2 linked regions of the Schizosaccharomyces pombe genome follow. The gene in region 1 interacts genetically with each later gene. Each region holds a gene or a part of one and is shown in the gene's direction. Other genes may lie near its edges.

Evidence for each region. Genes that interact genetically often act in the same process or in processes that back each other up.
Region 2: of zip1 (region 1) and pof1, a mutation in one rescues a mutant of the other (synthetic rescue), as found in Schizosaccharomyces pombe (one study listed by BioGRID).

What each region holds. Positions count from the first base shown.
Region 1 is NC_003424.3:4,298,027-4,301,918, forward strand, and holds zip1 (DNA-binding transcription factor Zip1), read left to right. Parts: upstream 1-1,788; 5' UTR 1,789-1,932; exon of another isoform or gene 1,933-1,995; 5' UTR 1,996-2,039; coding exon 2,040-3,032; 3' UTR 3,033-3,375; downstream 3,376-3,892. Other genes in the region: meiotic recombination protein Rec10, read right to left, coding at 3,376-3,892.
Region 2 is NC_003424.3:1,372,168-1,377,537, reverse strand, and holds pof1 (F-box/WD repeat-containing protein Pof1), read left to right. Parts: upstream 1-1,942; 5' UTR 1,943-2,654; coding exon 2,655-4,472; 3' UTR 4,473-4,816; downstream 4,817-5,370. Other genes in the region: SPOM_SPAC57A10.07 (uncharacterized protein), read right to left, coding at 1-233; protein mug15, read right to left, coding at 466-506, 591-951; SAGA complex deubiquitinating submodule subunit Sgf11, read left to right, coding at 5,231-5,257. UniProt on the Schizosaccharomyces pombe protein: Probably recognizes and binds to some phosphorylated proteins and promotes their ubiquitination and degradation. Required for the inactivation of zip1 via ubiquitination.

The sequences.
Region 1 (3,892 bases):
AAATAAGAAAAAATGATTATTTCTCTTAAAATGAATTGTTTTTAGAAGTGAACAGTTTTAGATGCTAGATGCAAACGTGAAAGATAGTATATGGTAATACAAAAAACGAAGGATTGGTAAATGGGAGTCCGGGAATTTTTATTTCACTTACGAGTAGAAACATGTAATTTTTTTTCTTTTATTCCATAAGCTTGCGATGTTTGAAGTCGTTGACAACGTCTTGCTTAGTTCAAACTGCTAGTCACCTGGGAATTATCTGAATAAATAAGCATTAAAATATGAACAAAGATTGGCGAGTCCAAGTTTATGTGAAATATCAACAACGATATACGTCGATTCATAGGAGGTTTGAACTCATCAACCTAAAGTTAGAAATACATGGCAAAAGAAATTTATCACAGATTGTTAATATGTTTGCAATCAGACATTGACTTAAATCAATTCTTAAGACTTGTTTGTAAGTGAGCAAGTTTATTATTGTTTTATGAATGATCGAGGTTGTGTAAAATGGCACAGTTTGTATTTGAAAGCTAATTTGGAATCCACAAAATTTAAGATATATAACAGAAAAGCTTTTATACAGCTGAAGTCTTCATTTAATACCCCGAATCCGTCATTGTCTTTTATTATAATACCGAGTTTCTATGCAAGTTAGGTAAAACTCCATATTTGAAGTCTTGGACATTGAAATACTTAAACTGTAACATTTGTTTTAAACTATTAGGATTAAATTTTCAAAGTTTTGATGGCACACATTGTACTATAGTTAGCAAGTATATAGAACGGCGATGGTTGACAAAAATGAACTACAAATGTAACCACGGAATGAACGTGAAGGTTTATCGGATTTTGATTTTAACGCTGTTTAATTTGTATTCAGCTACCTTTAACATTAATGATGAATTTCTGCTATTGGATTTCTAAAACTCCTCTGAAAGCATATAGCAGACAATGTCTTACGCAAATACAAAAAATGCTTTAAGGATTTCAAAGCGTTTTCCACTGATTTTTTTCTTATGCAAAAAGCAAATCTATTACTGACTTTAAGCTTGAACTTCAATCATTCTCATTTCTATTTCGTTTCCATATTCTATTATAGAGGATCTGTCAAGTAACATGTTTTGTATTTGATTCTTTTTTTACACAAGCAGCACTAGTATGAATAAGTTTTAAGAAGAATATGACTTTGTTCCGGAATATATTAACTGACTGAAAAGTAGAGAATATACTGTTTTTAGAAAAAAAAAATTGCGAATTGTCTGACGCACTATTGTTTCAATATATGAACCGTTGTTGGGGATGAAAAATGTTCAGTAAAAACCCCAAACTTAAAACTTATTGCGCATGTAGATCTAAAGTAGTTTATTCAATTAACTATTCGACTGACTATTACAACTGGGCCATTGATATATAAAATGAGCGAATATTCTAATGGCTTTAGAATTTTCAATATAAGATAAAACTTCCGATCATTTACACAAAAAGCAAGAACTTAAGACTGCTTTTTAACTCTCATTAATAGCATACGACTGATTTCTTTAGGATTTTTTTCCTAAATAGCAATTTGTTAGTGACTTATATAATAACGTTTTTCTAGCAGGTTTAAACTACTACGGTAACAACTTCTATAATAATTAACGGTGCACTATCTTAATATAGGATAGTTTTATGAGGATCTACGTACAGCTACACTACATCAGATTTTTAACGCGGAGATTGTAATCTCATTATTATCTCAACGCTGCATGATCCCGATCGCAGACGTGCTGGCTCAGTCATCAAATTTTCTACGATTACCAACGTAGCGTCGCCATTCATCGAGTCACTAAATTTGGTGGTTTAGCTCGTTTATTGCGAACGGTTGAGTGTGTTTTTTTTACCTTTGTGAGATATAATTTGATTAGTAACGATAATTTTGCCGTTAAGTCTTAGGTAAGCTTATTGTTGGAGAGTTCAGTTTTTTAGCGAAATTCCATGCTAACAATTGATTTTCAGTTAATTTTAAGAGACCAAGAGTCTCAAGATAAAGCTTTTGACAAATGGATTTTACTCCTAATAGCGCTATCAATCACTTGAATCTTAAGTTCGATGATGTTCCTGTCTCTGACGATTTTTCAAAGGATGATCTCGCAGAGCAATTAAATGTATTCACAAATCCATACTTTTTAGATTTAGAGCCTTCTAGTATGCTTTCAGAAGGCTATTATGGATTTGTTTCTCAACCTTCAGGTTCTTCCAATTCCAATAAGCAGGAAAAGAACGTGCAGCAACAGAATCCCGAAAAAATTTCGACTTTGCAGCAAGTTAAAGAGGAAGAAGTTAGCAATACCTTTTCTGCCCCTTTGAATGCAACTGGAAATTTTTCTTCTGCTAATCCTGCTTCAATTGATCTTGCTTATCTCGACTTGCAGAAACTCCTAACCCTACCTGATCATTCAAAGGAAACTCAAGAAAAAACTTCGTCTCAACGAGAGCTCTTTGAGCAAAAGTCTTCTGTTGCTTCAGCCTCCAAGGATAATGTTTCTTCTTCCTCAATTCTCCAAGGTTCAGCTTCCTCCAAGTTACTACCTGATCAATCTGCAAGACAACATCAAGTTTTGGTTGGACAGACTGCTATCCCGACTTCTGAAGCTAGCAGCTCTATTAACAATACCCCTTTACAAGCTCCCGTTTCTTCATTTGCTGATCAAAACGCATTTACCAATCCCCTTTCCACTTTTGCCAGTCCTGATTTAGCATCTGTATCTTCCCCTAGTCTTTCTTCTTATAAGGGTGCTCAGTCTCCCAATGCTAACAGTAAACGCACCAAAGCTACTTCTGCCATCCGTACTGCTGCTGAGGAAGATAAACGTCGTCGAAATACCGCTGCTAGCGCTCGTTTTCGCATCAAGAAGAAGCTTAAAGAACAACAGTTGGAACGCACTGCTAAAGAGTTGACTGAGAAAGTCGCCATTTTAGAAACTCGTGTTCGTGAACTGGAGATGGAGAATAACTGGTTGAAGGGACTTATACGTCCTACTTCTAACTTTTAAAAGTGGTTTTCTTTCCCTGTTATTTTATACCCCTGTCTTCTGCATTGATATGTTTATTTCTTCGATAATCATTTATTTAACATATAAAGGTTTTCTTTACAGGTAAACTTATGTTTTCTTTTGGAGCAAATCTTTTAATTTTCTTTTTTTCTGCGTATGCATCCAACTGCTACGTTCAAGTTCATCAGTTTTACGTTTACTAGGTAATGAATTTGATAATATACCTATTTTTCTCGTGTTTCTTGCTTTACGTAAATAAAATATAACGCTTCCAATGTGAATTGTTTTAAAGTAATATGTCAATATAAGCCAATATCAATAAATTTGATACTATAGGTTCAAGCTACTTAAACATCAAACTGTCAATTTGGCTGACCAGATTAACTTCAATTTGCGCCAATTCCTTTTCGATGATCTTATATCTAGCAGTTTGTCTTTTCGAAAATTCCTTAATCACTTTGTTACAATTTATGTGGTAAGCCTCAAGCTTTGACCTCAATTCCTTCTCGTTCTGTAAAATGCCCTCGTATATTTGATTTCCTATCATAGAAGTATAACGTTGTAAACCATCAATAGTAGCAGATTTGCTAGATGGATTGTATGCTTCGTTCTTCTCAACTGTCTTAAAAAATTTGTTGTAGGGTATTTCCTCGAGCTTGACAGTTTCCGCATTGGGATTCCTGTACTCAAGTTCCTGGCGATCTGATATCAGCGTACTGCTACTTGAGTCTGGCTCCTTGTCATTAAAACATTCATTATTAGGCGGGCTTGAGCAGGTACCATCTAGTAGACTGGTAATATTTGGAGTATTTGCTTGTTTAACAAAGGTAGAGAGATCAATTTGACGACTATTTCCAGTA
Region 2 (5,370 bases), 2.9 Mb from region 1:
TGTGTGAGGTTTTTCAAAGGTTGTGCTCCTACCAAGGAAGTAGGACTAAAGCATTGAAGACTGGGATGGCTCATAGTAGAAAATATAGTAAAAAATATGCAAAGCAATATTAGAGAAGCATAAAGTGCTATTCCAGTTCGAGACTTTGGGGAAAGAACTCGCCAAAATCTAGACGATGAGGCGGTTTGGGTAGCATAAAAAGGCAATTGAATAGTTAAGCGTTTATTTAACATTTAAAGACCCAGTAGAATCCCAACCTGGGTGAAGGTCTTTGGCAAGACAAATATGAAAATAAAAAGTTGCTGTAGCGCGGTAGCGTATTATCAGTGATACCCAGGATACCCAAACAAAGCACGCGAAGCTTCTCATTGCTTAAACGAGCTAAAACTTTTATAAAAATTAATTTACCATAGATTCAAACATTAATAAAATTAATTTTATTGATAAGAACGGCAAAAAAAAGTTTTATGTTTCATCCTTTGTAATTGCAACAACGAACAAAGAATCTAAATTTTCTAGTTAATTTATTGCTTTATTTACGCTTTTTATTTAAAAAATAAGATAAAATAAAATTCGGGCGTTTAGCATACCATACATAATCACCAGTTGGCAAGAATCGAAAGTCAATCGTAACAACCTTGCTGAGCCTAAATCGGTGAACTCGTTGCAGGATTCCAAAATGTTGCATACGAAAATCACCAATCTCTTCAATTCCGCTGGCACATCAAGATCAGTTCCACCGCAACCTTGAAGTAAATTTTTAGTGAAAACGGTAGGAGACTTGTTTAATTCATCCAAGCTAATTGTGGTTAACGCGTCTAACTCTGGTATCATAGTACTCTTCAAAATGCCTGCATCTCTTATTCGAAATAAATGGACACCAGTCACTCCTTCTATTGAGCGTACAGATTCATACAAGTCATTGGCACTTTTCAAATCACCAACGTTCATATTTATTTAGTTGTGTAAAAAATATTTGGTTAATATATGTCCATCACTTGTAATCAGTCAACATTAAGGGCAAATCATAGGTCAACAGTCGTTTTGATGAATTAATTATGCATAGAATATTATATTGAATTTGTGACAAAAACAATTTAAATTAATATATGTTCTCAAAATAATGTATATGCAGACTATATGCATATTCCTCGGCGACTTTATATATTTCACGCGTACGTGACATTAACAATATTCAATCAAAGATGAACAATGAAACCGCTAGTCATTATCCTTTTATTTATACTTAAAAATCTATGTTAACCGGTATTCATGAAAAAAACAGCGGCTCAATAAATCGCTATTTCCTTCTTCAATATTGTTCATGTTATGTGATTAACCGAAAATCATGTATTCTTTCTTCTTGTAATAAATCATCGATTTAGCTTTGTTTACGACAACTATATATAGGTGAACAAGTTGAGCAGTGTTTTAATCATTTTCTGAGCGAATAATCATCCCTATAAACGCACCTAGCTCAATTACTTAGAAGTTTTTATGAATATATAAGCGGTTACTTAATTCATTCGAGTTTAAACTGATGCTAGCTATTACAAACTCAATTACGATTTGCTTAGCATTACGGCTCCATTGCCGCCATACAAAGTGAAGAAATATGGAGGAAATTCACCAAAATTAAGAAATATACAAACTTTGAAGCGACTGATTAAACTGTTGACATCCGAGAAAATTTGCATTTTCACACCTTCAGCGACATTTCCCCCGATCCCCGAAAAAGGTGCGACTTGTGAGGATTGGCTATTTTTTATTAATCTAGTGGAAAATAGCTGTTAAACGTTTGCAGATCAGTAAAAATTTTCAATATGAGTGGCAGATTGCGCAATAGTTGGTTAATCGAAATCAATTGCATTAACTGAGAAGTGGACAGATTTTTAATGATCTACGCACATATATATACTGAGACGAATAGAACGACATCTTTGCAATTTGTTTTATCCACATTATCTTCGGATTCGTAATTTTGAGATTCGCTTAACATCTCGCAATTCTACTCAAAATCTCAAATTCATTAGGTGATTATTAGTCTTTAGGCCTCACAATCCTCTCTATATTATATCCTCTCCTCCTTAACCTCATCGAAAGCCACCTCAAGAAAATACACATATTTGGAATAATCAAGTGGTTGGATAAAGAGTATTATTGGAGTTTTTTGAATCATTAAAATCTTGGTTCTACCTCAACTCTTCATCTTTTTACTGAAGGTTGCCAAAGCAACGAGTTTGTGTGTATTTTATATTTGATCTTCTAGTTTCTTTTTCGTTTATCTTTTACATAGTTTGTGTCTCTTTTTAAATTTTTTTTCTTGTTTCCATATATTTCTATCAGCTAGCACTTTAAATTTTCGATTTACTTACAAATTACTTTGTAAGGTTCGATAGTTGACTTTCCCCGCTTATCATAATTATTACAATCTTCATATAGTTTTCTCCTTTTTTTTTGTATTACTATAGTCTTTTATACTACTATCATCTTATCCAAATCATTTCTGGTTTCATTCTGTTAACATCTACCCGCATCATCCGTGATAACATTTTTTTGTGCTATTATCCACTCTATTTTTTTTTACCCTAAAATCAACCTTTGCATTGTCCCTTCTTTCTTTTCATACTTAATATTTAACCTTTATAAAAAAAATGACTACAGGTTATGAATCTGTTCCCACTTCCGAACCCTCTGATAATCTTGCACCACGAGCAGAGCTATGGCAACGCCATTTACTGGAAAAAAAAGAAGGTGATCAATCCATCTCCGTTTCGGCTTTTAATATTTCTTCAATGCATAATGAATTGTCTGGTTTAAGCGAAAAAAGTCGTCAACGTGTCGAAGCTGTATGGGCTGCTTTTTCAGAGGCTTCTTGCAGCGAACGTAAACTCGCTTTGCAAGGCATTTTAAACAACTGTTCGTCCTCTCTTCTCTCTTTTGCCTCCAGCACATTAGATTCTCTAGTACGCTTAGATTTTCTCTCTTTGCTCCCTGTTGAAATTTCGTTTCGCATTTTATCTTTTTTGGATGCTAGAAGCCTTTGCCAAGCTGCACAAGTCAGTAAACATTGGAAAGAACTTGCTGATGATGATGTTATATGGCATCGGATGTGTGAACAACATATTAATCGAAAATGTGAAAAATGCGGCTGGGGACTTCCGTTACTCGAAAGAAATACCTTATACGCAGCAAAGGCTTCCATACAAAAACGTTATGAACGACTTACAAAAAGAGGCGTCGATCAGGCTCATGAATCTTCACCCGTCAAAAAAGCAAAGCTGGACGATTATCCGACGTCGAGTAATGAAGAGACTATTTCTTCTGTCAAACCACCTTCTCCGAACTCCGATTCCAAATTCTTTCTTCCCTTTAAAACCAGACCATGGAAAGAAGTATATGCTGAACGTTGTAGAGTTGAATGCAACTGGCGGCATGGTCGTTGTCGCCAGGTTGTTCTCAGTGGCCACTCTGACGGTGTTATGTGTCTACAACTTGTAAGGAACATTCTTGCTAGCGGCAGTTATGATGCCACTATACGATTATGGAATCTTGCTACCTTTCAACAAGTTGCTCTATTAGAAGGTCATAGCAGTGGTGTTACGTGCCTTCAATTCGATCAGTGTAAACTTATCAGCGGTTCAATGGACAAAACTATTCGTATATGGAACTACAGAACCTCTGAATGCATTTCTATTTTACATGGTCATACGGATAGTGTTTTATGCTTAACGTTTGACTCTACGCTACTTGTTTCTGGAAGCGCAGATTGTACAGTTAAGCTGTGGCACTTTTCTGGCGGTAAGCGTATCACTTTACGCGGTCACACAGGACCTGTCAATTCTGTCCGCATAATTAGAGATCGTGGACTTGTTCTTTCCGGTTCCGACGATTCCACCATCAAGATTTGGTCTTTGGAAACAAACACGTGTCTTCATACTTTCAGTGCTCATATTGGCCCTGTCCAGAGTTTAGCTCTTGCTGATTCGCGATTGTTTTCTTGCTCATTGGACGGCACAATAAAGCAATGGGACATCGAGAAGAAAAAATGTGTTCATACATTGTTTGGACACATTGAAGGTGTATGGGAAATTGCGGCAGATCACCTTCGTTTAATCTCGGGAGCTCATGATGGTGTTGTTAAAGTTTGGGAGGCTTGTGAATGTGTTCACACGTTGAAGAATCACTCGGAGCCTGTAACCTCGGTTGCTCTTGGAGACTGTGAGGTAGTCAGTGGGTCTGAAGATGGGAAAATATATTTGTGGCTTTTCAATAATGCTCCAAATGAATCTCCAGTATCTACACAATCTGTTCCGATATCTTCCCTTAATGGTCAAAGGTCAAATTCAAGTGTGCAACGAGCTCTTTCTTCAGTACCCAACTACTCATCCTCGTTATCCAATATCTCAACCAGAAATTTAAATATCCCACCCTCTAATGCCAATAATGACGATGTGTCGATTCAATCGTAGTTACCCCAACATCGCATCGCCTTTTTGTTTGTGTCTATTTCTTTTTTTCTTCGGCATTTCGCTTGTATATCCTTCATTTTTCATCATTCGAAGCTATGTCTTTATTTATTGCTCGGGTTGCCAAAATGCCATATCTAAATTTGGCTCTTTTTTGGTAACAAACACTTTGTCTATAATCAAAAACTACTTCTAATATCCTTGCCTGTATTGTATTATTTAAATCATTTGAGATTGATGGCATCCCGGCATACAGTTTAGCCTTTTGCTTAATTTACTAGCGAATTATTTTATGACTTTTAACATTTTATGTATTTAATGAATACAATTTATCCTTAGTCGAGCTGAAGAATGTATGATTTGATGAATTGTAAAAGGGAGAAACTTAGGTACTATGTTGTAGGCGTTGTTTTTTCCAATTGCGCAAGTGGATTACTGATATTTTATTTCATGAGCGTGTGTATTTTGCATTGCTCTTGGAGTCAGAGAAGTATGAAATTAGCAAATTATATCAACACTCACTATTAGCAAATAAAGTCAGCTCCTACGCAAGCTAAAGATGTAACACCAAGTATTTGAGCCTAATAATTTTTATAATAAAGACATCAATTTGAAGCACTTCCGTTCTGTAAATCTCAATTTCCCATACGGATCAGTTGCATCTTTTTCCTCATTGTTTGAAATTTTGGAATCACCGGCTTTGTAACAATACTAACTTGCTTGGAATACTCAACTTTTGATTCCCAAAGAATGGTTTAAAGATGCAGCCTGCTTCTCTTGCCGGTATTGTAAGTACCTGATTTCTCTATGTGTAATTGTTTTTCCTTTCAAAATTAAACTTCCTCGCCAAAAAAAGATTTGCTTGTTTATGAAAGCATGTATCATTTAATCGATCGCGGTT